Tribolium castaneum: one gene and its partners. The protein of the gene in region 3 purifies or fractionates together with the protein of the main gene of each other region. This does not show direct contact. Links are inferred from orthologs where the notes say so. Each region holds a gene or a part of one and is shown on either strand. Other genes may lie near its edges.

Evidence for each region.
Region 1: the proteins of Mocs2B (region 3) and Atac1 purify together in Drosophila melanogaster (affinity purification with mass spectrometry; 4 studies listed by BioGRID, with this or other methods). This does not show direct contact. The link is inferred for Tribolium castaneum from reciprocal best matches to the Drosophila melanogaster genes Mocs2B and Atac1.
Region 2: the proteins of Mocs2B (region 3) and Sgf29 purify together in Drosophila melanogaster (affinity purification with mass spectrometry; 5 studies listed by BioGRID, with this or other methods). This does not show direct contact. The link is inferred for Tribolium castaneum from reciprocal best matches to the Drosophila melanogaster genes Mocs2B and Sgf29.

The regions. Positions count from the first base shown.
Region 1 is NC_087394.1:37,100,210-37,110,242, reverse strand, and holds Atac1 (ZZ-type zinc finger-containing protein 3), read left to right. Parts: upstream 1-3,624; 5' UTR 3,625-3,809; coding exon 3,810-3,959; intron 3,960-4,006; coding exon 4,007-4,123; intron 4,124-4,226; coding exon 4,227-4,361; intron 4,362-4,410; coding exon 4,411-4,513; intron 4,514-4,560; coding exon 4,561-4,673; intron 4,674-4,719; coding exon 4,720-5,031; intron 5,032-5,083; coding exon 5,084-5,536; 3' UTR 5,537-5,614; downstream 5,615-10,033. Other genes in the region: hig (locomotion-related protein Hikaru genki), read left to right, coding at 1-329; beg (probable malonyl-CoA-acyl carrier protein transacylase, mitochondrial), read right to left, coding at 2,057-2,224, 2,275-2,502, 2,550-2,767, 2,822-3,428; b(0,+)-type amino acid transporter 1, read right to left, coding at 6,307-6,374, 6,429-6,600, 6,648-6,894, 6,945-7,172, 7,221-7,265, 7,324-7,549, 7,710-7,991, 8,037-8,240.
Region 2 is NC_087396.1:14,027,431-14,037,603, reverse strand, and holds Sgf29 (SAGA-associated factor 29), read left to right. Parts: upstream 1-1,555; 5' UTR 1,556-1,833; intron 1,834-1,882; 5' UTR 1,883-1,985; coding exon 1,986-2,156; intron 2,157-2,611; coding exon 2,612-3,131; intron 3,132-3,981; coding exon 3,982-4,166; 3' UTR 4,167-4,253; downstream 4,254-10,173. Other genes in the region: Pabp2 (polyadenylate-binding protein 2), read right to left, coding at 4,774-4,810, 4,953-5,086, 5,134-5,396, 5,446-5,689. UniProt on the Drosophila melanogaster protein: Component of both the SAGA and CHAT histone acetyltransferase complexes, which both predominantly acetylate histone H3.
Region 3 is NC_087396.1:21,501,748-21,511,914, reverse strand, and holds Mocs2B (molybdopterin synthase catalytic subunit), read right to left. Parts: upstream 4,858-10,167; coding exon 4,613-4,857; intron 4,562-4,612; coding exon 4,380-4,561; intron 4,330-4,379; coding exon 4,072-4,329; intron 3,640-4,071; coding exon 3,422-3,639; intron 3,376-3,421; coding exon 3,265-3,375; 3' UTR 3,228-3,264; downstream 1-3,227. Other genes in the region: wdb (serine/threonine-protein phosphatase 2A 56 kDa regulatory subunit epsilon isoform), read right to left, coding at 838-976; JNK1/MAPK8-associated membrane protein, read left to right, coding at 2,189-2,415, 2,459-2,671, 2,721-2,890, 2,941-3,227; Mocs2A (molybdopterin synthase sulfur carrier subunit), read right to left, coding at 4,867-5,124; Wdr92 (dynein axonemal assembly factor 10), read left to right, coding at 5,653-5,936, 5,979-6,109, 6,154-6,604, 6,649-6,856; elm (calcineurin B homologous protein 1), read left to right, coding at 7,028-7,094, 7,138-7,404, 7,452-7,690; Sec23 (protein transport protein Sec23A), read right to left, coding at 7,789-7,878, 8,011-8,028, 8,088-8,636, 8,692-8,892, 8,943-9,154, 9,359-9,501, 9,549-10,167. UniProt on the Drosophila melanogaster protein: Catalytic subunit of the molybdopterin synthase complex, a complex that catalyzes the conversion of precursor Z into molybdopterin.

The DNA of each region.
Region 1 (10,033 bases), on a different chromosome or scaffold from region 3:
GCATGGACGGGGGCCGCTATGCCGTGGGCAGTTTAGTACAGTTTGCCTGCAGGGGGGCCCACCAGCTGGAGGGCGAAGCCAGCATTATTTGTACCGAGACTGGGTTTTGGTCGCACCCGCCCCCTTTCTGCAAACCGCGGTGCCCCTATTTGGGGGAGCCCGACAATGGGCTGGTGGCCCCCACGAAGTTTGCCTACGAGCCTGGAGATGAGCTCCAGATCACCTGCAGTCCGGGGTTTGAGGCCAGGTTGGAGGCAAGGCCTAAGTGTCTCCCAGATGGGAGGTGGTCGGCCCCCTTACCCAACTGCACCAATTATTCGGAGATTTAATAAGATATTAAGCGTTGAATGTTTGTGATAATGATGATGGGAGAAACATCGTTGATTTTATGACTCGTAATTAAGTATTTTTCGGTTATTTTTTACCAAAAAAGTTGTTACACATGATGATCTCATGCCGAATACAAATTTTTATCAAATTGTAGATATTTCTAGCGATAGTGAATGTATTTACAACGAAATTTATGTACCATGTAATTGATTGGTTTTTTATGTAAATAAATTCAAAAACTGCCTTAAGGTAGTCAATTTATATTCATCTGTAAAAGTTTATGTAATAAATTTATATTGTCAATAAAACGTACAACTGATTGCGAACACTTTTCAATGACGAACGCTTATGGTCAAAAAAAAGTCATCAAGTTGATTTAACTCGAGTCGTAAGAGAAGACCAAACAAAAAATTACAATTTTCCGCTGAAGTAATTTTGTAAATGACTAACTGTTAATAAAGAGGTCGTCAAATGGTGCGTATACACTTTGCCCTCGGTATTTTTTGTTCTCACATGTGGAAAAACTGGGGAAATTAATTAAACCGGACGTTTTCAGTCCGTATTCACTAACACAAAAATAAGTAACCAATTAATTAAGCCAGGATTAATGAACAGTATTTTGTGTTGTTGTTTAAAAGAAGTCTTTATCTTGGTTGATGCACTCAAATAATTAATTCATTCTGTTTCAAACCTTGAGCAAAAACTGCTAATGTCATAATTATTTGTCTCTTTGTATTGGTGGCTTTTCTTTCTTACTTTTGTCAGTGGGATCCACAAAAATAACGGAAAATTCTATTAGATTTTTTTTAAATTTAAAATAAATCGTAGAATTCGCTGAAACAAATTGCTTCGCCCTACGACTTTTAGTTCTAGAGTTATGATTTTTTTTTAGTGAAAAACTAAAAATACCTCTGAAAAAACTTAGTGAGTGAGAAGAAAATAAGCCCAAAAAATCACATTTATGGAATTTTCTGACAAAATTTCTACCATTGTTTTGTTTTTCGTTAGGGACATTTAATAGGTTGGTATCGCGTTGCCCGGCCTACTTTTCCATTTTCGAGTCTTGTTTCATCAAACTCTCGGAGAAAAGCATCGGAACAAGGCAAAAATAAAAGTTCAGACATAATTTGGCCCTTTATCAGCTCTGTTTTCTCGATAAAAATGCAATAATACCAAAAATTGCTAACCTTATAGGTAGCGTCTCCCTCGCTTTTGAACCGGTCCTCCAGCGTTTCTTGGAATTCGTTTCCAGCCGGCAACCGATGATGTCATCTCGTCAGATTTCCAATAGAAAACTTTGATTTCAGTCAATTTGGCACTAATTACGCGAAAAACACTTTTTTAACAACACATAAAAGCAAAAACTTAACGACGCGCTTGTGAAAAAAGTGCGTCCCCACTAGACCACCGCGTGACATCAAGTCAGGACATCTCATTGGTTGGTTCGTCGAGACGTCAAATCGAGAGGCGCGCGATTTCAAATTTGCGTGCTCTCTACATTTGAGGTTCATTTTCGACTTTTTGCTCCAATAACCGAATTTCACAAACGAGCAATTTCGTTTAAATTATTTTTTTTCACCATTCGATAAATAATTTGAAGCACATTCGGATGCCCCTTTTAATTTTTGCCTTATTAGGCTTCAAGATAAAATGTTCGTTAATGGTTTTGGGGAATTGGAAAAAGAAAAAATAATAGTTGTTTCAAAAATTTTATTCAAAATAAACTCTACACTTGAATATTAAAACACGTAGTCCATGCTTTGGCATTCACTTGTTTAAGGATAGCCCTTAGGGACGTGCCTGGGCCACACTCAAACGTCCTTGGGAAATAATCCCCTTGACTCCTCTCATAAACAACATGAAGAAGTTGTTCCCACTTTACAGGTTTAACAATCTGGAGAAAGAAAAACTCAAAACACGAAAAAAAAAACACTTCTAAATTACCTGTTTCGGCAATTGTTTTTTGATCTGCGCTGCGTCTTTGTACTTTTTCCCGTCAACATTTGAATAAACACTAATTACAGGATTGCTCACTTCTGATTTATTTAATGCCTTTCGAAACGGTTCAACCGCTGGTAACATTAAATTGGAATGGAAAGCTCCACTAACCGCAAGTCTTTTAACTTTACGTAAATTTAATTCTTTGGCATTTTTTTCCAAATAATCAAGCGCCTACAATTAACTGCATAACAACTACAAAAATGAAGAAAAAAAATTACAGATTCGCTCCCCGAGATGACTTTACAATGGGGGTACAAATAATTGGCAATTTGACATTCGGGCATTAAGTCGCCTTTATCAGTTGCCCATTCCTTGGCTTTGACTAGTGCCTGGTTTAACTTCGTGTCAGGACCGTACATTACTGTGACCATCCCCCCCTTGTACGCCTCACTAGCCAATTGCATTGCTTCCCCCCGAATTTGCACCAATCGTAACCCTTAAAAAATTCCAAATAAAATTCAATTTTTTGCCAACTGGTTGTAAAATAAACCTCGCTCAAAACCAATCGCCCCCGCAAACACTAACGCTGTAATTTCCCCCAAACTGAACCCTGCTGTCCCCACACAACTCTCAATAGCCCTAGGTCTCTCCTCTTTCAGTCGTTCAATTGCCGCTAAAGAACTGACCATTATTGCCGGTTGACTATATTTTGTTTGGTCCAATTTGTCTTTGGGACCCTCAAGACACAATTTTAACAAATCGTACTTTAAAATATAATTCGCTAACTCAAACAAATCCCTAGCCATGGGGTACTTGAGCAAGTCATTGCACATACCGACAAATTGGCTCCCCTGACCGGGAAATAAAATTATCGAGGACTCGCGTGGATCATATTTAGGTTTTTCGATAAATGAGACACCCTGTTTGCGAATTTTGGTGCCTTGAGGGTATGGCAAAGTAGCCCATTGTTGTTCTTGTGTCTGGGGGTGCAAGTCTTCAAAGGTTGCTGATTCGTCGAGGAGTTTCTTTAGGGGAGATTCTTGCGTTTTTTTCTCATCACAGTTACGATTTGAGGACAGGGAGAAGGGGCGAAGCCCTACCAAAACACGATCGCAGTCTTTCAGAAAATTTCGTGTAATAATTTTAGTAAACATCATGGTATAATTAAACTGTTAATCAAGCAAAACACACAAAACTAATTCAAATAAAAACACATTTTAATGATTCAACTTAACCTCGAATGTCAAGTTGCGACCATATGACCGATTGTTCGCCCAATCTAAACTTTAATCCAAGACGCCAAATTTATCACCACTGATGCAAACTACTCTACTTGAGCTAGCTTTAAGGAAAATTAACGAAAATGAAGATCGGACGGAACCACTTTCGTAAATTTGGTCTTGTTTAAGGTTGTCAAAAGTAAGGTTACAGGTCAGCTGTCAATTTCACGTGTGTAGTGTTTATTTCTTGTATTTTTTTGTAAATTAAGTTATACGAGAGTGAATTGTGTAATATCTAGTCAATTTTTTACAAACAAAATGACAAATACGCAAGAATCGGACATAAATCCTGAAGAAGATTTGTACTATTTCGAAACGGATCACTTGGCTTTGAGAGGAAATAAGGACTATAGTGAGGTTCTTAAAAACTTGCTCATTCTGTGTGCTCAGAGAAAACAAGCAATAAAGGTAAAGTTGTGTGAATTTAGTTACGTTTCGATTAAAAAAGTCTTCAGGACTATAACAAAGCAGTAGAATTGAAGAAAGAAGCACTGGCAGACCCGGCCAAAGTCTTGGAGAAAATTATAAAAGGGGAGTCTTTGGGAATGCCAGATATGCACCGCATGCCTGAAGTAATTACAATTTTTTTGAGATTTTTTTCACCTAATTACATTAGAGAACAAAATATAATTTTTAATAAAGCAAGGAATATTTTGTTCATTTGGTGCATTTTAGTTGCCGGTTATTGACTGGTCAAAGTACGATATTAAAATCCCGGAGGAAAGTTTCAAATTGATTTATTCAGACGGTTCTGAGACTGTTAAGAAAAAACCCGAAACGCCGAAAAAAGAAACGAAAATTTCACATGGGGTAACACATTTTGTAAAATCGGTTCAAATAAAATTGCTTGATTCTATAGAAATGGACAACAGAAGAGCAGAAACGTTTAGAAGAATTGCTCCAAATTTATCCGCCTGAACCGGTTGAAATGAGACGGTTTAAAAAAATCGCTGATGCTTTAGGTAATTAATTAGGCGAAAAATATTAAAACTTGGTTAAATTTTCTTAGGTAATCGAACAATTCAGCAAGTCACGAGCCGAATTCAGAAATATTTTGTGAAATTGTACAAAGCTGGATTGCCAATTCCTGGCCGAATTCCAAAATCTGCCGAAAAACACAAAGTGAATTTACATTATTTTAAGGCACCAAAAAATTATTTTTTTGTAGAGAACGTCATTACATAAGCACCAGCGTCACAATCATTATTTATGGAAACCTACAACTTTTTTCCCCGATTTATGTGTTCCTGTAGTAATGAATGACTTGGATAATGTTCCTGGACCTAGTTCGAAAATTACAGATGAGATACAGCCTTCTACAAGTTCCAATTATCTCATACCTTCGGTTTATCACCAGGAGAGTGAGATTTTGCCCCAAAAAAGTGACAGTGAGTTACAGCTGGAACTTTTAAAACGGATACGAAAAGTTAAAATTAGGGAGAATGAGAGTGGGTCTAATTTCCAACACGTGGGATTTAAAGTAAAAAATAATAATAATTTAGCCAATTTTTTGGTGATTTATTTTCTTATAGTGTGATTATTGCAACGATGAACCAATAATTGGCACCAGATGGCATTGTAACACTTGCAAAAATGACTCAATTGATTTTTGTACAGACTGTGTTTTAACACAAATTTATTCCGATAATAGCCACCCTTTAAACCACAATTTAATCGCATGTGGTGATAGAGAAATTGAAAGTGATTCAGAGTCAAATAGTGGCAGTTTGGATCAAAATAACGAATCAAGTGATGAAGAAATGAGCGATATTTCGGATAATGTCAAGGACCAAGTGATGGCAAACGGAATGGACGAAAGCGAGAAAATTGATAATAAAAATCAAAGTGAAGAAATGCCAAAGTTGGAGTTTGGTAATTATGGTAATGACGAGTTTGTGGACGGACTTGGGTCCGATTTGTTCAGCGAAATTGAAAATCTTTCATACGATTATTTGCACTCGAATTTGTTGCTTGATAAGGATTGAACGTTTTGTTGTTGAAGATTTTATTTATTTATTGCCTTTGTTTGTATGTAAATTTGTGATTGCAATGAAAAGTTTTTTTATATGTTAGCTTTTCGTTTAACCCTTCAGAGCTCTCCTGAAAATCGACGTGATAACGTAACAAAAATCAATGAATAAAACTTTGTTTACAGCTTTGCAAAAATTAGTTACCTTTTTGTTGATCATTTATCTTAATTCTTACATAACTTTTTTAATATTATTCAGTGCGTGTTGTGAATTTTTGCGTGCTTTTAATACGCATTTATTGAAAGTGTTTTTTTTGGTCAAATATTTCGAATTTTCAGAGTTTACTCATAATTTTTTGTAAATAATGCATTCTAGACCTGATTAAGTGATTTCCTCCGTTGTTTTTACAAATTTCCTAAAATTTATTGATTTTTTTAGACTTAATTCTACAATTTTTTACCTATAGTTTAAGCAAAATCTTTCCAGTTTTTTTTTAAATTCCATTGAAAAACAGTTTTAAACAAAATTCTACAAGTTGAATTTAATTTATTCACTGCAACTAATTTATTTAACGTATCACTGACAACTTGACTACACTTATTATTTCATTGAGCGGTCTTTATTCAGTAAAATAAAATATGTATTTAACGTTCTTATCTGTCAAAAGAATAATAAATCATTTATGATGTTTTTATCGTTTCTTATCGTAAAAATACATTTCCGTTTATATTTCATTTTATTACAACTGCAATTATAAATTACATAACATCTCAATAAATAATTTCTTATGTAGCATTTGGATTATCGGGTGGCACAGCCGCGAATAAAATCTGAATAAAACGTGTAAACTTTCCTAAAAATTGCAACAATTAGTAAATTACCCCACAAAAAATTGTAAACCTCATACTCATCAACAATTCCGGTGTTCGCTTCTTGTAAACAAACCAATAATAAACCAAAACCCCCACCAAAATAAACGCCAAAGCGAGCAAATATTTCGGAGTTGGATCCGTAATAATGGGCGTAACACTCAAATAAATAGCTACCAATAAAACGAAAACACAAATCCATGTAGGCACCTGAAAAAAATCATTAAACCAAACCGAAAAAAAGATTTTATATGTACTTTGTAGGGTCGAGGAGCATCTTTCATAGTCCTCCTTAAGACAAGTAACGAGACAAAAGCCAGCCCGTAGAATATCCAAATGAGGAAACTAACAAATTCGATCAGTTCAACAATATCCCCAGCTACGATAAAAAGGAGCGATAAAATCCCCTGAGAAACGACAGCGAATGACGGAGTTAGACGTTCATGATGAACGAAGGAAAGACTTTTGATCATTAGGCCGTCCTGTCCTGCCACATAACACACCCTTAAATTATTTAATTCGTTAAAAGACACACAAAATTAATTTTTTGGTACCTAGTGACCCCAAATTGTATACTTAGGGCACATCCAAACGTAGCTAACGCCACTCCTAGTGGTATCAAAAACGCCAAAGGGCCTAAAACCCTTTCACCGAAAGTTACAGCAACAGCAGGCGAATTTATCATCTCAGGTATCGATAATGCGGTCATGTATGCCATGTTCATAAAGACATACAAACCGGTGACTATGGGAACACTTATCATTATGCTCCTCGGGATGTTTCTGCAATTATTCAGTCACGTTTTTGTTCAGGAATTAAAAATTACTCACACTTCAGGTCGTTTGATCTCTTCAGTGATTACAGTGACCGCAGACCTGTAAAAAATGGTGAGTGTGTGCCATTTCCAGGCCTGGTTTTTACAATTACAATTACCATCCGTCATAAGCCCAAAGTCCGCTATAAAAGGCCAAAGCGATGCTTTTCGGTGTGTACTTTGTGCCTTCGAAGCCCCGGTTTAAATTGTCAGTGTTGCCTTTGATGATTTCGTAAAGGCCGCCAAAAATCACCACCAAACAGGCGAATACTTTAAATCCGCCGAAAATGTTCTGCACTTTGACGTAGAGTTTCACGCTTGAAACGTTGATGTATGTTATTATACCTACAACGAGTACGATTTCAAACTGAATAGCTATTATCTAGCGTAGTTTCTCAAGTAATATTGGCTTGGTTACAGAGTTACTTTTTTACATATTACTTAGAATTTTCTCTTTACGTTTATTTTATTTTTAGTTATTCTGGGTTTATAAGTTTTTTCCTACCTAGGGCGAGTAAGGCCACCGTTTTGACCGCCTTCTTCACCTCTTCAGAGTCGTCCTGTATGCACATCAGATCTAGCAACGGTTGGCACAAATATTCGGAAAAAGTCAGTATAATAACAGCGACTTCTGCCGGTTTGATTATCACAATCATGACCCAGGAGTAGATGAATGAGGGCAAATGGCCCCAGAATTTGTGCAAGGGGCCAAACGAGTCCATATAGTAGGCGTATTCGGCCCCTGAACGTGGGATAACAGTGCCTAGTTCGGCAAAAGCCAGAGCTCCTAAAATGTTTGTTGGAAAAACATTTTTTTACGAAAAAAAAATACCTAGAAGGGAGATTATTCCGCATACTGTCCATACAACTAGACACATTCCAACTGAACCGGAATGTTCGAGTGCTGAAGCTGGAGAGACGAAAATTCCGGATCCTATCATGACGGCAAGAATTAGATTTATGGCGGAAAAAAGGCCCAATTCGCGCTTGAGTTGGACGCCTTGTTTGGCGTCGCCATTTGTGGCCGCTATGGTCCCTAAAAATTTATCATTAGACACTATTTTCTATTGAAATTTCGTAAAACAGGCTCAAACATTTCCTAATTAAATAATGTTCAAAATTATGTTATTTTCTCGCCTATTTTGATCTGAAAACTTACGTATTCGAAATTATTGTCCGTATCTGAGTGACTTAGCTTTTTTTTAAAGGCGAAAAAAATTAATAAAACATTTTTCTTTGGGTATTATTTATTTAGTTCTATTTTATTTTCAAGCTTTGTAAAATTTACAAACTCTTCGTGGATGCGCACGCACAGCCCCAGTTACAAGGTGGTAACAAGGAAGAAGAAAAAGCTCCCCTATAAAGAACGCTGTCTCTTCTCTGCTAACTGTCCTAAGGTTCAGACATGTTATGTGTTATGTTCATAACTATTAACGCCTTATTATTATAACATTATTAAAATCGGATTAAAAAAACTGACCTTTGGACATGCAATTATATTGTTAGGATTCTGCCCTGTTTTTAAGGTATATTAAAAACGTTAAAATTTTGAGGCACGAAGTAGAAACAGCATTTCTATTGACTACTGGGAAAATAAATAACTATAAACTTCACTATAATATAATATTGGTGTTATGGACTAATTTAAAAGTTCTGGTTTAGGATATTACTGTGAAGTTTTTGCTTGGAAGTTCATCAGGAACTCCATTTTCTCAATTGTTACCATTTTTCTTTTCATTAACAAAAACTGGAACTGACAAAGTTTTTGTATTTCTTCAGTTCAAAAAATAAAAGCAGAAAATAATCTAAACTCAAGTTTTTTTATACTGTTTCAGTCAGTTTAATAAATACTCTCTTAAATCAAAATCACTTGCAATCGTGGATTTCTAGATTAAACCACTCTTATGTTTGTTTACCAATTTACACAGGACAGTACACTGACTTCTTGACATTAAATTATTTAATGTCGAGTTTAATGTTATTGTTAAAAATTTTTAAATAAAAATATAATAGTAAATATTTTATTAAGCCGTACAATAATTTTTTGCACTTCTTAATATTAGTTAATTTATTAATCATTTAATAAATTTTAATTCGAAGGAATTGTAGAAAAATTCTGAAAAAATTCACAAACATAGAGAAAAATATAATAGCAAACTCTGAATTATGTGCGTCATTAGTTTTTCATATATATCTACTAAAAATATAATTTTTGTAGATTCACTCCGCATAAAAATTTTAAAAAATTTGTTTTTCTCCGTTATATTAGAGGTTTCCATAATAAACTTTGAAACCATCACCGGCATAGTATGCTTATATCTATTAATCTGTTAGTTATTTATTATCTATTACTCTATCTTTTAAATACGTACCGACTAGTAATTTTTATTGGTCTGTAAAGGCGAAAAATGTCTGTTTTTCTCTGTTAATTTTACATAATAATGTCCATTATTCTTATCTATTAAATATACGGGATGAGTCTACTAAGTACATAATGACGTCATCGACTCTTTTTCGTTTTTTTTTACAGATCCAATAAAATAATACAAAAGGTGATAAAAAAAATCATGTCTGACATTTCTCTAGCGACAAGCTTGAGGCATTAGATCACAGAACAACGTCAAAAATGCCATTATTTTTGCAAGTTCTGAGGATTTAAACAAGTTTTTAGACCAAAAATCAAGTTTTTCTTCCTGTTTTTATTAAACTCGAACAAAAAAATGACTTTATTGTCACTCGTATCGTATTTTTATTTGTTACATTTTGCTCTAAACATTTTGTAAATAAGCAATAATAAGGTATAATCAAATAGGATCATGAGCATATGAT
Region 2 (10,173 bases), about 7.5 Mb from region 3:
GCACCGAAAATATCGCGCCAAAAGTGTTGTTTTGTCACTCATCGTTCAACGTGTTACCGGAAGTATGTAGCAATTATTTGTTTAATCGTTTAATCAAAGCAAAAATTCTGATTACAGTTCGTTAGTGAGTCAATTCCTGGTGTTGAGCGCCGACCAAAAAGATAAGTATCTCTTATTTTATTAATATAACCTCATCTTTTTGATTGGTGTTTCTTTCTATTTTAAAGGCATTGGTCTGGAGTGACGGATTTTTGATTTCTACTACTCAACTGAACTTTAGTCATGGCTGGTTATCGCAAATATTCCTGCAAATACCCCGGATGCACCAGTGATTATGTTCCCAACAAAGGACAGTCCAATAAGCATTTCTTCACCTTCCCTAAGAATCCAAAGCTTCAAGAATTGTGGAGGAATGCCTGCAAAATTGAGGATCCTGTAAGTTCAAAATTTTGGCGTTTTCGCTATTTAGGGTATTTCAGAATTTACTTTTAAGTTTCTTATTTGCGCTCGAGTGTGTCAGTGCACTGCATGTACCTCCTCGTGGTCGTAGCGTGGGCAACTGTTTGCTGACAGACAAGGTAAAAGTCATTGCAAAGCAGACCTTATTTTGTTTTAAGTCTCGAGCAGACAGGCAAAACATGCCAACACTGACTGATTTAATTTTTTTATAATTTTTGTATAATTAAGAAATAATACAATACTTTAATTTTTTGAAAAATTTAATTTGTTATGTTACTCAAGTGTACAATAAAAATGTTAACAAAATCTGTGTTTTATTACCCCAAAACAACTTTTTTTGTAAGTTTCATTTCAAATTTTGTTTAAAATAAATATAAAACGTTTTCATTTTGTTTAAAATGAAAATATATTTTTTTATTTTAAACAATTTGCAATGAAACTTGTAAGATAAAAATAATAAAAAACAATATAAAAGGAATTTATTCAAACGTGGCACTTTACCGTGGTAGTAACGCACTTCAGCACCAGAGGCGCTGGATTCTCGTGTTGCCAGTGATTTACTAGGGAATTATCACTTCTTAACCCTTTCTGTTCTGTGCTACCTGTCAATTCCTAAAACGTCTACAAACATCACGCTCTGCACAAGCGCGGCGCTAAATTTAAATAACACGATATTTTTTAATGAAATAAATTTTCAGATAGACCCAAATCGTTTTGAAACCAGAATTTTCCTGAAATATTTAAATTAAAAACCTCTATATCATTAGTTAGTTACATAATTAATAAGCAAATAATTTTTTTCATTTTAATCTAAAGACGCAAGTACTAATTAAATTCACAATCACAACCTCGTAGCAAGTTTACAAACACGTATTTAATTAAATAAATAAAAAATAGTTGCAATTTTTTAAATAGCGCCTCAAGGCCGTCGTAGTTCCAATGTGACAACACAGAGATAAGTAATCCTAACACAACATTATCTTATATAGAAAAAAAGGGAAACTTAGTGATATTATCGTTGCAATGTTAAAAACATTATCAAGCATTTTATTCCACAATTATTACTAATTAGTGAATTTTTTGTAGGTTTAATTGAATATATGTATTAGGTCGTGTGTTTCAAAAAGTAGTCTATTTGCACGGCTAACGTCAAGCACAGGCAAACAAAAATAAGTGTATTTTAAATTACGTGCATGTTATTTTGATAAAAAATTACCATTTCCATAATTAGTAGTTTATTGTAAAGTACAATACATAAAAGTTACCCCCGCAGTGCGACTTGTGCCCTTTTCCCTGGCAGTGCATCAAACAGTCAAATCAATGTTTTTTGATTTAATTGAAATAAACATTTCCACTAGAACCGTGTGTAGAATAGTCAGTGATTACTAAAGTGTATACTTTTGCTCTATTTTGGGCGTTTCAGGTACTCGTCACTTTAGTGTTGCTTTGCTGGTACCACGTTGTGCTTGTAGACAGGCACTTCAGGAACCCATATTTCTGCGGTGAATTTTAATTGCACTATTAAAATGCCCTTTAGTGCAGACGCAATCGCAGCGCAAAAAGTTCAGGAGCACTTGAAGTCGCTCTATCACACGGTTCATGAGATTGAGAAGAAACGCCAACAGAGTGAACAAGGAATAAACAACATTGTTAAGTTTCAAAATGGGCAAGACGAGAAGTCCAGCCAACATTATCAGGTGTGGATTTTCTGGCATTCGCAAAATATTTTGAGGCATTTTCCGAAAAAATAACAGTAATTTGGGGCCAACATTTTTATGTGTGTATCAGTGTGATTTGTTTTCTTCTTTGTGTCAACGACATTTGGTCCCTTTACCTCGGTCTTGTTCTCAGCGGCAATCGTTACCTAATAATTATGCTACAAATAAAAGTACTGATTTCACTGCAACTTACAGTTAAAATTGTTAAAACGTAAATAATTACAATGGCTTTTAAGATCTTTGATGACATTTTTCTGATCTTTGGCGGCTTACGGTGCCCTGGAAACGCTAAATTAAAAAAAATCGCCTTTGAACCACCTTTTAAAGCTCAATTGTGTTTCAAGTAAATATTTTTGTTTACGTGAATTTAAAGAATTCCATTGTTTCGATTCAATAAGAGTTTATATGATTACTGTAATGATTATATATTGTAGATGAAGCTAAAGAGCCTCTACAAGTCCTCAATTTCGCACGCCGAGCAAGAGGAGGATTTGCTCCGTCAAGCTCTTCAAAAAATTGCGGAAATCCGCAACATTAAGAACGAACGGAGAATTCAAACGAGACATGCTGGAAACAAAGAATCGATTCGTAGGGGCACTTGGATGAAGATGTTAATGAGTTCGGCACAAACATTGCCCCTTTTCGTCGGTAAAATAGACGAAAAACCTCCTGCTCTCTGTGGTGCCACACCTGCTGACTCTGGCTATGTGGCAAAAGTGGGCGATATGGTGGCTGCTTTGGTTAAAATTCCTGATGGAGATGGCGAAAACTGGATATTGGCTGAAGTGTACAGTTATAATCACGCCTCAAATAAGTACGAAGTTGATGATATTTTGGCGGAGCAGAATCAGAAACGGCGACATACTTTGAGCAAGAGAAATGTGGTACCGTTACCCCTAATGCGGGCTAATCCCGAGACTGATCCAACGGCCTTGTTTCCACAAGGAACTGTCGGTAAGTGGAGTTACAACGAACTTCCTCCTGTTTCAAGCACCGATTATGGCAAAACTCTTCGGAAAATTGAAACTATTTTAAAGTTGTCTTTGTAAAATGCTCTGGGAAATCGCTTGGCGTCAAGAAAATGACCAGATTCTTAATAATTTTTAAGATATATTTTTTACACTGTTTGCGATTTTTTTTAAAACTGTTAATCGCAGAACAATGGTCTTTTTTGTAAAAAGAAACAGATTATTAAGAGCTATCCAACGATTATACACTTATTAGGGTTTCGGCTAGTATTTCTGGAATTATTGCCCGATGAATGTCACAAACGTGTTGAAACATTCGGTGGTATGTTAGCACAAAAAAAATCTATGTAAATTTTTTACATTTTTATAATTATTTTATGGGATGTCTCGTGGTTTTTTTGTGTCTGTTTTTGCTAATAATTTTTACTCAGTGTAGTAGATTCCTCAGAGATCATATTTGTTTAAAATTTTTATTAGTAAAGTTTAAAATTGCTCGCCAAATTTAAATTTATTCGCCATCGCCGACGAAAATTCAGAAACCACAAATATTCGGATAATGCAAGTTGAGTTCTTTTGAGCTCTACTCACATTCCTTAAAATATTTGCACAACTATCAAATTATTACTTTTTCGCAAAGGATTAATGTTTTTTTACAATTCTTTCTTATTTCGTCTTATTTGACAAATGATATAAAGCAAAAATAACAGCTAAAAAGACACTCTTTGTTAATTTATCTCTTCTAATGACCTCGGATATAACGAACGGATTTTGACACATTTTCTGAGTTCGTTATAACCGGACACCACGTAAATTAAAATGTTGGTTTTGCGTTTCAGTTATGGCTCTATACCCAACTACGAGTTGCTTCTATAAAGGCATTGTGAACAAGCCTCCCGCAACACATACTGATGAATATGAGATTTTGTTTGAAGACGCTGCGTATCCTGAAGGCTACAGCCCGCCCCTGTATGTGGCCCAACGCTACGTCATTGCCATAAAACAGAAGACAAAGCAAGCCTGACATTATCTTTCAGACACTATGTCTGATTCTGAAGCTTCAAGTTTTATGGAATAATTTATTGGGTAGTAAACATTCGAGAAACTTTCATTTTGTGTTATATTTCACCAATTTATTATTCATCTTTACATGTACATGAATTTTTTTTACATTTTTGTTATTTTCTAATCTAACTTTTAAAAAAATGGAACTCCTGAAAAAAACAGGCTGAAGGTACCTGTAATGTTGCAACATTAAAAATTATAAAATAAAAACGAAACTGTTCAGACCGTAACAAAACTATTCTCATAACCGTTACAACTACCAATTTCTCACCCAATGAACGAAAGAAACTCATAATTATCTTATGACTTTCTTTGTTTTCTTCTGACTATGAAGAAAAATTAATTTCCACACATGCACGCAACACTCGCTCAACTCATACATGTTAGCCTAACATTTAAATTTTACGAGGGGAAATGTTTTTAATTTACAGTTTTTAACTTCACTTTTTTTCTTTTTTCTTTTGTAACTTTTTTTTCTTAGTCCAAAATATCAGTGTGATAGAATTATGAGAGGTGTTACTTAAACAAAAATGTAATAATGATGTTCCTTATATTTACCAGGCCCGTCAGTATGGTGAAAAATATCCACCTCGTCTGTAACTCCTAAAAATGTAGACATCAGTTCATTAAGACACTTCATACTTGCTTCAAAATAAAGAAAACAGAAACAATACTGAAAAATAAAAATAACCGCACAGAAAGTATATTGTTTCCTGTTTTATTGTACAAGACTGGGGAAACGTACCTTGGTCTACGCATGGGCCTATAGCCAGCGTAAAATCCCCGCCCGACTCCTCGTGCCCCCCGGAACGCCCCTCTGCCCCTTGGCGGCCGGTTTGTGGTGGAAAGGCCCGGTCTATTGGTCCTTTTAGGCATGACCTAGAAAAATGGAGTAATTTTATAGGAAATGCGCCCTAAAATCGCACCTTGATTGGTCTTCCTCTAAACAACGACTCGTCCATCGCCATCGCCGTCTGCACGGAGTCCCTGTCCCCAAACTCAATGTAGGCGAAGCCTTTGGGGTGTCCATCGTATTTATTACAAAGAATAGTGACCCGGTTTATTGATCCACAACCATGGAAGTGCTGTTCCAGTTCTTCGGCTGTTGCGCCGTAGTCGACATTGCCGACGTAAATACTGCGATTATCAACCTCCATCTTCTCCTCAAGCGACATATTCAAAGGACTGGCTACAATAGGGCTCCTGTCACGCCTGCCGCTTTGTTCCATTGTACTTACTTAGTCCGGGAGGACTGCCCATGTTCATTTGTTTATCGACCTCGCTCTGGAGCTGTTTCAGCTTTTCGGCTTCCTCTTCCATCTCACGCACCCGGGCTTTGATGGCTTCGAGCTCAGGGTCGTCGCCCCCGGTGCCGTCCAAATCGGTGTCGTTCAAAAGAGCGTCGTCGTGCATCCCATTTGTTTCGTCTAAAGATTCCAAGTGATCCTCTGGACCTAATCCCAAATCTTCATTATCAGCCATAGCTGAAATTGTCAACATAACCCCACTTTTAGTACGACGAATTTTTCACCAATTGCGCGTTATTGGAGCAACTTTTAGCCCCATATTCGCACTATACTCCAACACATATGTTTCGCACAGCTACTTCAGTTAACCCACTTTGCAAAATTTGGTTTTTTTTGATGGAGCATGATTGAAAGTTGCCCTTTATGTAATAGGATGTCGGTACTCACTTTGTTCAATCTGTTACATGTAAACGCTGCCGTACTGGAGATAATTTTTTGTCAAAAGAGCACTAAAACACACCATCCAAGCCACTTTTTTATTACCGGCAAATTGTGGAAGAGTCGGCTTGTGAAGAAAAATGGCGTAGGTGACTTGCGTTGCCAACATTTGCACAACCAGGAACGCCAATCCCAATAATGAAAGACGCTAAAAACTACCCTTATTTTAAAACTTAAATTAAATAATTAAAAAATTTCCTAATTTGAACAGTTAAGAGCTATAAAAATCTAATTAATAAAAATCAGATTAGATAAATTTAATTCGTTCTCGTTTTTTATATTAGTTTTTTATTAAAAAAAAAATAAAACTGTGGTGAAAATGATCTTATTTTGACTATTTTGAACCCAAATTGTCCATAAAGTAATACTTTTTAGTATACATTGCATATGTTATTCATTATTACGATGAAATCGTCGTGTAAATGCTTTCAAAATAGCGTACAAAATGTGTAATGTTGGCTGCATAATACTTCAAATTTTTATTAAAAAAAGAAGTAAAAAACAATGAACCCGATGTAAGGAAAAAAATCCCCACTGAGAAAAATTTAATTATACAATATAACCGGCCACAAGTCAAACACAGGGTGAGTGGGGTATGATCTGCCAAACTTAACAACTTAGCTTAACTTAGGCGTCGCTCATCATATTCAGTTTTAATTTTTTTTTCAGAATTAAATAAAGCACTGATTCCATTTTAAAAGTCTTTTGGTACTACACTCCGAGTAGAAGAAAATACATATTATTGAATTACTTACTGAAAACATTTTAAACTGTTCGACAAAAAAAAATCGATGTAAAATTTTTGAATTTTTATATTTCTTATGAGAAAGGACTCGTTTTTCTATGGCTGTCCTTACCAATTTTAACTCTCTGTAATAGATTTTGAAGAACTAAACTTAGAGATCATATTTGTTTAAACTTTTTGCTGGTCCCATTTTATTCGCCGACTAAAACTCTTTATATCTCATAGACTATAAATATTCCACTTCTTGTGAGCTCTATTATAACTATCAAATTCCTACTGTCGCAAAGGATTAATGTTTTTTTACAATACTGACTATATAAACACTATTATGTAACTTATTTATTATTACTTTAATAATAATTATTGACAATAGTTTTAAATACGTCGTAAGTGATATTATTTTTCAAGATTCTACATATTTTTTTTAGATGACATATAAATTAAATAAAAACTAGGCAGTATTAAAAAAAATAAATTATTTGTTATTAAAATTAAATATTATGAGCCCAACAAAAATTTTGTTGGCCCACCTTTTACCCATCCAAAAATTAGAGTTACGACAAAAGACACTTTATTCCCAAGAGTCCACTGCAGTGCTAAAATTATCCAATTTTTATCCAGTTTTCAATATTTTTTTTCTAAATTAAATAAAGCACTGACCACTGATCGCAGCTAGAGTAGAAAAATGCCCTGTAACCATTTTTGGAAAATGTTACTACGTTAAACGGCTTTACCTAAATCTTTCGGCAAATAGCGAAAAGAACGTTTAGAAACTACAATTTACGAATTCAATTAATTTTTTATAATGTCCATGCAAAAAATTTTGTGAAACATTATTCACATGAGAAAACGGTCCTAATTTCTTTCAAACTAGCTTGTCAATAGAACCATGCAAATGTGCAGTTTAGATCGGCAACTGATAAAAAAAATAGAAAACGTGGTCCTTGCACTGATTATTATCTTACATCGTCACATATCCACTGTCATAGCTATAGAATTTTAAAACCGAATAATAAGACGTGAAAAATGCCGTGAATATTTATAATTTGATGAACTTGACACAAATGTATTGTTCCTATAGAGAACAACAATAAATGGCAGTGGTAGATGCCGGATATAGCCTCGTACATGATTTCATTCCTTATGACCATTTCAAGAGGAAATTTCCTTGATTTTGTTTGTCAAGAATCCTTATTAAAACCCTGCTGTAACTTGACTTAGGTTATGGTGGAATATTTTAATTTAAATCTGATGGCATTGAATTGAGGGCCACTAGCTAACCTTTTATACCTACACGAAAGGTGGTCGCCGGATATCCTTCCTGAAGATTGACAAGTACAAGCGACTGGATAAATTTCAGTTGTTCAAAAACAAGTTTGGCTCTTTTATTGTTATTTATTCCACTTAATTATTTTTTATGTGGTCTGTTTAGGCATATCCGGATTGACTAAACGTAAACATCAATAATTCTCCGAAAACAAAGTGTAAAACCTTCCAGCTTCCGAAGGACACAATATCCGGATTTTTAATTTCATGCTTATTTTTCGTAGTAATAGACAAACAAAAATAACAAACAAAAACTTCCTAGAAAAAATATTTCCCCTCAGATCCAGGTTTACCTAAATTATGGAAAAATTTCATTTAAAAAGTGACCCAATTTTGCAAAAAGTTCATTTCCTCCTCGGTCTCCGTGAACTTTCGCAAAATCGACAAGGCGATTCCCAAATAACAATGTTAAGTCCTGGAAATCCTTGTGATCATTCGACTGGAAAAAGAATATGTTTGTATAGGAAATAAACATTACTCAAGTTGCAATGTCAAGTTATAGGTCTTGTCTAGTAATTAATGTCATTATGTAACATAATAGTTGTAAATAGAGCTAATAAACTTTATTCATTTATCATTTATAATCGGACAGATTTTTCTACAAACTATACTTACATGCCTAACGAAGGCACAAGAGAAAATGCCATCACAATTCATTTTCAAAGTTCAAAAACTGGCAAGCACAATATTTTGATGATTTAGTAATTTGTTCATAATTTTTTAAACAATAATATGCATAAAGTAGTTTTTATTTTGATTTCGTTTGCGTTCCAGTGCAACAATAAATGTTGAAAAAATGTTTTAGAACAATTAAATTGCGGATTCTTTAAATATTGTAAAAGTATAAGTCATCATTCATTATAAAAAATATTTTGAAAACAAATTAAATTAGGTACTTCTCAATTCCACAAACTGCACTAAATTTAATTGTCTTATAAAACTTGTTTTTCTTGGAAAATAATGCTTGTTTCATCCTTCAAAAATTTCCCATTTAAAGTTCTTAATTTCTACCTTCATAGTTTATAGCCTTCCGGAAATGATTACTCGTTTGTTAATTTGTTTGTAATTTAGTAGATATTTTCCAACCAAACATCCTAACTTGGTGGTCTTTTCATTCTTATAAAAACAACCAACAATCTCACTCTGTAAACATCGATATACCTAAACACGTTAATTACATTATTGTTTATTTATTAATTTTTATGAAGAAAACAAGAAAAAATATTTTTAAGAATGTCTACCATGTAACTTCTATTTAGCAAAATCTATCTACCATCCCATAAGCTCAGTTTACCAGACATTATAAAATCCATTTAAATTTTAAAAGATGATTCACTCAGTATTACACAAGACATTATTAAGTGTATTTATTAAAATAAAAAATAATTAATAGCTCAACAGATAGATTTGAAAAATATTGCATTTATCCACTATAAGTAATAATTACAATAAGCAATTTTATTTTCTATTGTATTTTGTTTACCGTAATTAATAATTATTGAAATTAGCTATTACTTCACCTAAAAACAATTCTAGACATCTAAAAATTTAAAACCTAAGAAGATGTCCAGTGAATGCAAATACCAAACCTTAATATAATTAAAAGTTAAAATAAGAAAAAACAACACTTATTTCTGTCAATTGTAATTATGCACTAACATGTGGAGCCCCCAATAAGGGATTTCTCGACGAAATTGAGGAAAACTGCATTTAGTGAGCGCAAACCCATCGCAAAACTTGACGCACTTGACCCAATAAAATCGCATATGTGTTATATAACGTATAAATGGATTATTCAAAGACCTTGCAAAAAATCACAGATCACATCACATTCTCAATATCAAACTAATTAAAATGGCGGTGATTTATTACTCCAACTGGTAATTTTATTTTCTATAAATATAACAGTAATACTTAACAGTTTGAATGAAATTAACCGTTCAGTTTATTGCAATTAGTTTAAAACTCTGTGCTCGTTTTTAATTACGCCTTAATTAGAAAAAAATTGAAGGTTTTAATCGTAAGACATGTAGATACACCTTAAATTGTACTTCTATCACGTCCAGGATCAAGTGACGGTCACTCTATTTTAATGTTAATAAATTGGCAACCTTGTTCGATTTCCGGAGGCCACCAACTCCATTTCCGAT
Region 3 (10,167 bases):
TTTACTATTTGTTGCCCATCAACCAAAATTGAAATTATACACGACATGCCGATTTGACACATTTGGCCTTGACTGCAGGCCACTTTAAAATGTAGATGTAAAATGTAGGCTTTTAGAATTATTGCATTTATTCGCTTTTTAAAATCAGTTTTGGACGTTCAAATTTTCGCTCTTTTGAACTACAATACGCCACAATTACCGTAAAAATTAGCACAACTGGGCAGAAGAAGTGAATTATTCCAAATGCAATCTAATTTCAATATAATGCAATTACACAATTATTTTTGTTTTATAAAAAAACAGTTATATTTTAATTAGTGAATTATATTTACTACCAGTAGAACTAAAAAAAAAACACAAAAACACGCTCGTGTCGCACAATTTCGCGAAAAATTTATGAATAATTTTGTCAAAATCAATATTGGCAATGACATTTTTTGCGTATTGTCAAGTATCAACTTTTGTTTTCCATAGCACACTACAAGTGGCATTTAAACGGCAAAACTGCCTGATTTCTTCACAGAAAAACCGAATTATTAGTTTATTTTCGTCTACTTCTATGAAATTACCGTCAATTTGCGATGAATTGAAGCAAAATTGTCAATTGAAGCAAGAAATCAATAAAAATAAAATGACAGTTCCGTATATACGTTCCTGACCTCGCTTTATTTTGACAAGTGACATTTATTGGTAAACTTTTGTTTTCCACGTCCGGCCACAAAGCCCGGCCTTTGATGCCACAATGTCAGTTGGCAGCCCCTTTCGGGGCGGCCAAGGGAGCCCCCGTGGATCGATGCCGGCGGTCAGTCGCGACCTTGCCCTTGGGCCCCCGCCTACCTTTGAGCAGCGGCAGCGGCTGCAGCTCCACGTCCTGCGAGTTCCTGTACCTGGAGCTGCCTTGCGACTTTTTCGTCTTCTTCTTGAGCGAGCGCTTGGCGAAGGGATCGATCCGATCGACGAACGCCGTGGTCGACATGCTGGCTACTCGATCTGGCTCGGTTTACGCGCGCGACATTTCACCTGGACGTCTACGTCAAACGGCACCAGCCCCCTTCGAACGCATCCTCCAATGACAAGGTGCACGCCCAAAGCCCGGTCGAGGGAACGCAAGCCGAGTCGCCGATCTGGGGCCGCCTCGCGCACCACAACCACAAACAGTTAGCAGGAATCGGCGGAAAGACGCGGAAAATCGAACAACTGCCAAGCGAGTCCAGTATTTTCACCCGCCATCAGCTGGTTGCTTTGACACAAAATACTCGCGTTCAGCCGATCCATGCGCGGTGCGAACACACCAACATCGCGAACGCCGCCCAAAAGACTAGGTTTTGCACAAAGGGGCCACCAAACACCGGGGGTTTAAGCGCTATTGACGGGTTTTTACGCGATTTTTGCACGAACCGATGCCGTAAGTACCTAGGGCTGAAAATAGATGGGGGGTACTGCGCGCACCAAAACACAACTGGTTTTCACAACCAATTCACTCCGACTCGCACCAAACCCAGCCTAGGGCACGCAAAATTCACGCAATGAATTATACTATAGCCAAAACAACCCCCGGGACCTTATTTTCATTAATTTTACGCTAGTCAGATCGTCAATTGACTCGCCAGTAGTCCGACGCGACCAATCATGATCGAGTATTCGTGCCACCCGACCAATCACACGCCACTTCAGACGTCCATCTTATCGAAAATGCCGTTTAATTCAAACTTTGAAAAAATCAAAACACAATTAAATCAAACAAACTTTATTAATTCATCCACGTGTAAAAAACGATACATTTTTGCAGCTCAATGAAACAAACGCCTCAATAAATCACACCTGATCAACCAAATCTAAGGCATGTGTCGTATTTAACAGTTTTAACAACAAATCTACCTTATGACACAAAAAAATACCAATTTACCACATTTTTAAACAAATAAATCCAAACTTGTAATTTTAATGAGTCAAGAAGAGAATGAAAAAATCACAGTGGACCAACCAAACATTGGTCACCCATCAACAGATCGGCACGAAACTAACACAACTGCACCAAATAATTAAATCAGCCAAATTTAATTAACCAAACCCTAAAAATGTGCCATTGGCGCGCTTGTTATCGCATTGATAAATAAATGCCCCACTGGCCGGCTGTAATCTCCTGTCAAGTCCGCCTTAACCTTACATTCCGCGATGCCTCTTTAAGATGCTTCCGTGTCCTGGCTGGTACTGCGGCCGCCAGTACCTCCCCAATGGCAGTCTCAGCGAGTGCGGGTCGTGCCCCCGGGGCTTCCGGCGCAACGACACTACTTTTATTTGCGAGCCGTGCACCGACAGCCCCACGTTCTACGACTGGCTTTATTTGGGGTTTATGGTGCTCCTGGTCCAGATTCTGCACTGGTTTTTCATCGACATGGTGTCGATGCGACGAAGGTGAGCCCCCTATTGCCCGTCACACCTTCACTGTTCGTTGTAGCTTCAAAAAAGACGTCCTAATTTTACACTTGACTGCGCTGGTGGAAGTGGTCATTTCGGGGCTCTTGTCGGTGCTTTTCACGCACCCGTTCGGCGAGTTCCAGGTGCGGAACTGCAGAGTGCGCAGCTTGGCCGATTGGTACACTTTGTTGCATAATCCGGCCCCGGATTATGAGAAGAGGGTGCATTGTACCCAGGAGGCTGTGTATCCCTTGTAGGGCTACTAATTGATTATACTACTTTATTGAGTGTTTTTGTTTTAGGTATACGCTAGTTTTTATTTTTTATGCCCTGACTTTGATTGTTATGCTTTTGATAAGGCCATGGGTTTGCCGGAAATACCTTCCAAGGCAGAGCAAAATGTCGATTTATGCCGCCATGTACTATATACCGATTTTGGTGGTGGTCCATGCCCTAATTGGGGGACTTCTTTGTACGTAATGATTGCGCCAAAAATCACACTTTTGATTGGTTTTGTTCCAGATTATGCGTTCCCAATTTTGGTCGTTATTTTGTCAGTTATTTCGTGTGCTTATCACTTTGCCCTCAAAATCAACCAATCGATTCCCTCACTCATCATAACAACAGTTGTAGACCCGAGAAATGTGGTAATCTTAGTGGGCCATTGGTGTTTACACGCCTATGGTTTAATTTCAATAACTCAGCTTAGTGACCCGACTTTTCACTCATTGTTGCTACTGTTGGTCCCACTGCCGGCTTTTTTTTACATTTTCACGGCCAGGTTTACCGACCCGACAATATTTACGTAATTTATTTTTTAATAATAATAATAAACTAAAAACAGATTTATTTTTTCTCCTCCTGAACCTTCCGCTCCAAATCGCTAATTAGCGAATCGATTTCCTCAACTGAGAAAACCTTCTTCTTCACAAATCTATTGTTTAAGTGGCTTTTGTCCTAAAAATTTCACTAAAAAGGGAGGGAAATCTCTCAAAAAGCTTACCCAAAAATTGATATATTCGGGCGAAATCGTTTCAAGGAACAATATCCGGTCTTCTAGTTTCTTCAAACGGGTGTAGATATTTTTCGGGGTTGGGGTGGTCAAACTGAGTTGGATTTCCAGGTTTTGGAGGCGCTCCTCAATGCCGTTTTGGGGGATGTATTTGGTCAGGTAGTCCGAATTTGTTTGGTCGCGGTGGTAAGTGTTCAAAACCCGACTTACTGCAAAAAAATTAGTCTGAAATACTTGTTTTTCGAAAATCGTCCGAAAAGTAGCACTTTTCCCCGACATTTTTTGCTAAATTTATAGAGGGTTAGTCTGTTAAAAATATATTTCTCGTGTTGACCGTGCAGTTTCTTTGCTCTTTTTTTTCAGTCAATTTTTACTCGGCGCCATGGCCTCCTTGATGTATTATTTTTAACGAAGTTGTCTGCATACATCAAGGAGGTCATGCTCGGCACATTTGTGTCCTGTCCGTAAAGTCTTAATTTTTTCGTTAATTTTTTTATTTTCAGATAAAAATGTGTTCTCTAAACATTAATGAAAAATGTCTGGTGCCAAATAGAATAACCCTGTGCAGTTGTATACTTTTAGCAGACTTGTAAAAATTGGAATAAAAATCGTAAAATTGTGATTTTTTAAGGGCCACGAACCTTGCAAATGGCCATTGGAGTCTTTGCGTTTTTGCAAAACCGCATCGACTCGGGCGCAAGTGAACTCTGAACTTCGATTACTTGTGCAAAACTCTCTCACATTGCTTATGTTGATTTCGTTTCGCTTCATCTCCATAAAATTCTCGATTCGTTTGCTCAAGTCCGCGTTTGAGGCCTTGATTTGAATCAAATGGGGCGAAACGTTGGGAATTTCGACTTTGGGCTCGATTTCGAGCTTGAATTTTTTCGGTTTGGGGGCTATAAATGAGAGCCAATCAATTTTAGACTTTATTTACTTGACCACCCACATTCTTTATTTTCCTTCCACTGTGGAGGAGTTTCAGTTTCAGCGTAAATCTCCTTTTTCCAAATAGGCACACTCTCTTTAACCTTGTTGATGCACCAGTCGGTGGCTTGCAGCGCCTCGGTACGGTGGGGGGACGCGATTGCAATTACAATGCTAGCCTCCTTGACCCCCACAACCCCCAGTCTGTTAAACAAAAAAAAATCAAAATTTGGCCCCAATTTAAATTTTTCAAACCTGTGATAGATTGCGATATTTTCGACTTGAGGCCACTTGGCCCTGATCTCCCCGCACACTTTTTCGAGACACTTCAAAGCCATGGCTTCGTACGCCTCGTACTCCAATTTAAGGACGGTTTTTTCCCCGAAACTGTCTCTGGTGGTCCCCATAAAAACCGAGACTGCGCCACATTTCGGCGAGGCGACTAGATCAGTCAACGCCTCAACACTTAGCTTGTCTTCGGTGAATTTCAAAAAATTCATTTTGGGGCCCTAACCGCCACTCAGAGGTGGGATTATTGCTACTTCGTCGCCCTGTTTTAACACAATTTCGACACTTTCCACGTCGCAAAACTCCTCATTGAGGGAGAGAATAATGTTTTGGGCAATTTCGGCCAAAAAATACGTGCCGACGAGTGTTTCTAAAAGCTTTTTGTAGGAGATGGGGGACGGCAGGTCAAGTTCGGCGGATTTTTGGCCCACGATTTCTCTCGATTTAGCGAAAAACAACACTTTGACGGTCACTAACATATCATAGTGTTGTTGCGCTTACATAATCACCGAATTGAAGCAAAATAATTACTTTTATCACTACTCTGTTTATATTTGAAACGACATATTTAGAGCGCAAGTTGTCAAATTTTTAACCTCACTTTCTTACGAATAAAATGCAATTAAAAATCTTTTTTTCGAATGCTTTGGAAGCTGTTTCCTTTTTTCCTGACAAGAATGCTCTAAACCTAATTTGCTGGACAAATTAGTTAATAATTTGACTAATTAGAGCAATCCTTAAATGTATTGCTAATTGTTTTTTTACAGCCGTAAAAAAAGGTCCCAATGGCTGTTTGTCCGAACATGATTTTTTACAGTCGAAGGCCCTAACGAAGGGCTTAATTTCCTGCAAAAATAAAGAACATTGCAGGATATAACGGGGGTGAAAAAAAAAAACAAAATAATTAAAAACGTAACGAGAACAGCTTGTTTTATTTAAACTTGGGCAATTATTGCCCCCGAAAATGCGCTTTGCTATGACAACAATTGTTTGATCAATCAAACGTTATGGAGTCGCTCCAAAGGCCCCAAATAATCTGCCACGTGCAGCAAGCCCTGAACTACACCGTCCACGACGTCAAGTGGATCCCCTGTTCCGCGAAATTCGTCTCAATCGGGGGCAAATCAAACGGGGCTGGAATTATCGAGACCTACTCAATCAGTGGTGATGGGATCGAAAAAGTGGCCGAATTCGGCAAGAAAGACCACTTTAAATGCGGCACGTTTCACGCCTCGAGTTTAAGAGACCGCCACCTTGCGACTGGCGACTTCAGCGGGCGGTTACAAGTCTGGTAAGTCGTCCAAAAGTTGGCCAAAATTTTTAAGTCTCGTAGGGATTTGGAGGAGAATTTAATCCCGATTTATAAGACGGAGAAGCACCGCGGGGTCATTAACGCCATTGATGGAGTTGCGGGGGTTGCCAGTGGGTGCGGGGCCCCCGAAATAGCCACCGGATCTAAAGACGGTACTGTAATTTTTTATTGAAAGTCATTGCTCGAACATTTTTAGGGGCTGTCATGGTGTGGGACATTCGGCAAAAAGACACCCCCGTGGCCAAGTTCTGCCAAAGCGAGGGCTCCCAAGGCCGCGATTGTTGGAGCGTAGCTTTCGGAAACTCGTACAATAACGAAGAACGAGTCGTAGCAGCGGGTTACGATAACGGCGATTTGAAAATCTACGACCTCCGGAACATGTCGGTAAAATGGTCCAAATGCCTCAAAAACGGAATCGTTTCGCTTCAATTCGACCGCAAAGACATTCCCATGAACAAATTGGTTGCCACAACTCTGGAGTCGAAAATTTTCTGTTTCGATGTGCGCACCCATCACCCCACTAAAGGGTACGCCCAAGTGGTCGAAAAGGCGCACAATTCGACCATCTGGTGCGCCCAACATTTGCCCCAAAACCGGGAGATTTTCATGACTACGGGGGGCACCGGATCGCTCTGTTTGTGGAAATAGTGAGTGTGTCAATTGTTACGACTCAAACCAACGGTCTTTGTAGCAATTATCCGGACCGGAGGGTGGAAAAGGACGCTGATGGGCTGGAATATGGGGTGGCAGGGGAGTTGCTTCTGCTGCAAAACAGCACTTTGAGCGACCAGCCCATCACGAGCTTTGACTGGTGCCCCGAGAAGGCCGGGCTGTCGGTGTGCTCAGCCTTCGACCAAACCATCAGAGTCTTAATTACGACAAAACTAAATTTGTATTAATTTTAATGAATAAAATGACCCTAACCTCAATCACTTGACTTTGACAATCAGTCAACCACGTGACACAAATCCGGCCGTTTGATTGGCCAGTTGTGACAACAACTGTCATTACAAGTGTCAAAGTGACATTTCAATAATTCAAAGTTCAGTTTTTGGTGAAAGTTCGTAAAAATGGGTAACCGCTCGTCTCTGCTGCTCCGTGAGGAGGAAATCGCCCAAATCCAGGAGGAAACAGGATGTGAGTACGCCCATGTTTCGTTTCCTTGTAACCGCAAATGTAGTCACCCCCAACCAAATCGAGCGTCTCTACTCCCGTTTCACGTCCCTGGACCGTGGGGATTGTGGCACTTTGAGCCGCGACGATTTCCTCCGAATTCCCGAGCTCGCAATCAACCCTTTGGGCGAGAGAATCGTCAATTCGTTTTTCCAGGAGGAAGGCTTGAACGATAGGGTGAATTTCAGGCAGTTTATGCGCGTTTTGGCCCACTTTAGACCCATCAAGAAGAACAAAGAGAATAAACTGAACTCGAGGGAGGAGAAGCTGAGATGTAAGCGAATCAAAATCAAGGGGTGACGCTTTATTGAGTTTTTCCAGTCGCTTTCAAAATGTACGACCTTGATAACGACGATATGATCTCAAAGGAGGAGCTTTTGGCGATCTTGCACATGATGGTGGGGGCCAACATCAGCGAGGAACAGTTGACCAGTATTGCAGAGCGCACTATCGTGGAGGCTGATGAAGACAGAGACCAAATGATTTCATTCGAGGAGTTTTGTAATGCGTTACAAAGGACGGATGTCGCCCAAAAAATGAGCATTCGCTTCCTGAACTAGGCGTGTAATGTATGTGTAATATATTTATTATAATTGTAACACTTAACCAGAGATATTTTCTTGTTACTATTGTACTTAATAAATAAGAATAAAGTAGTTTAAGCCGTTGAAGAGACCGCCAGTTTCTTCAAATGATCCATAAACACTTGCAACGAGACGTCGTCGGTCAAAACCGGGGCCCCGCCGTCCTGTAACACAAAATTTTGTTACACGTCTGAAGCAAGCGAAGCGAGTGAAAGCGATAAAACCACCCGATTAGTAACAAATACTACTACAAAAATTACACCTTTAACCCCACAAAAAATAAAAAAAATAAATACCGCACTCGCAGGTACCGCCTAAAATCCACCAAACACAGAATTAAAACACAAACAAAACACACAAAAGTGGTACTCACCCCTCCGTACGCGTACATATTGTTATGTGTTTGGCTCGGGTTGACTTTCGATAGTAAAAACCTGGCTTGGGAGCCCCCTTGTTCCGTGTCGATGTACCTAGGCATGGGGAACCTCGTCTGGAGGATTTCCTGGGCGTCATCCACCGGTGCTTGTAACAATTGCCGGAAATTCTCGTACTCTGGCATGTCCTGGTACTTGAGGTTCCTCCATTGGGCGATTGTCTCACCGTGGAAAATCAAAATTTGGAAAAATGTGTCCATGAGAAGGATTCGATCGGGTTGAATGGAACTAGTGTCGAGGAGGACGGGTTCAGGGGGGCCGTTGAAACTATAACTGTATAAAATCGGCTGGATCATAATGAGACTTTGGGTGAGGTCCTCCCGCATCAGCATGTGGCGGTAGAACGAGGTCTCGTCTGGGGAGTTGTTGAAAACTTGGAGGAATTGGGAGCGGCGCAAATGGTACATGAATTGGGGATAGAGACTGAAGTTTTCACTCAAACGGAAACTGTTAGGGTCGTCTTTGTTGTATTCGCCGAATTTTTGGCACTAGAAATAATAAAGTTCGAAATTTTGATTAATTAATTTTTAACTGTTGTATTACCAGACGAATTAACATACGGTCGACCCATCGCAACACATCGGGGCTTTCGTCGGTTTCAGCTCGATAAACGGCCATGCGGGCCATTAAAACAGCCGCCGCTTCCTGGTCAAAGCCGGCGCTGATGTGGTGGATGTTGGCCGTGGCATCGGCCCAATTTCGGGCGATGGTTGTAACGCGAATGCGCCTCTGGCCGCTCGAATGCTAAGAAAAAAATTGTTAATAATTTCCTTTCCTTCAATTGAATCATTTACTTGATATTGTGTTATGAACTGAATGCATCCACGGCCTCCTTGCGGTATGGGGGCCGAATGTTGATTGACCACTTCGAAAAATAGGGCAATTGTTGCACTCGGCGTCAAAGTGCACATTTTCCATTGGACTGTGTTACCCATTCCGATTTCAGTGTCCGAAACGAGGGGACTTTTCACATTGAGGGACACACAAGAGCCAATACCTCCTTGCACTAGAAAATAAATAAATCAACTTTCTAATAAATTCGAGAAAATTGCAAACAAAAGTAGAAATAGGCAAAATAAAAAAATATAATTAAAAAACTATTGACGCCAATCGATCATTTTACATTTTACATCTAATAGTTTTGCGTAATTATGAAAATAAAAAAATTTAAAAATTTGCGATTGTTTTTTGTCGATTTCCTGCACTTTACCTTTGAGTTCCCTTGAACACTTGACTTCCAGTGTGGCATTGAAGGCCATTTTCAGCTCATTCTTGGCATCTCTTGCAAAAACCCGCTGAAACGTTTGTTTAAAAAGCGACGAATTGAACGAGTCCCCCATAACCATATGCCCCCTAAAACCCCAAAAATCATTACAAAAAACACCCCCCAAAAAAATTACCCCGTCGAATTGCAACACTGCTTCATCTCCATCAGCCCCGTTTGGTCCAAAGCACACGAATAAATATCAACACAATGCCCATTAGTGGCAGCCCTCATAGCCAACCCCTCATAATGCTTGATCGCCTTCTTCATATACTTGGCGTTATCTTTCTGAATATCATGATGCGACCTGATTGGTTGTTTCAAATCGTCGTTAACCACCTGACCCGGCCCTTGCGAGCAGGGCCCCCCTAGGAACATCATAACCCGGGCCCCCGTATTGGCATACGTGCACTCAAGGAGCCCTATTGCTATGGACAAGGCCGCCCCTGTTGATCTCAAGGGCCGCTTGCCTTGCCCCACAGGCCAGGGGTCTCTTTGCAGCTCCCCGATCAAATCAGTCAGACTCATATCGCACTTTGAGATGGGTTGGAGGAACCGACTGGCGGGCGGGATGGGGGCTTGCGGGGCCCCTCGCTGGGGCTGCGCCACGGCCACTTTCCCAATCCCGAGCATCTCCTGGATTTGTTTAGCTGTCAGGTCTTTGGTCCCCCGAAAAACGTACGATTTGCTACAGCCCTCAGTGCCCAGTTCGTGAACTTGGACCATTTTCCCGAATGTGATGAGCCCTATGAGGG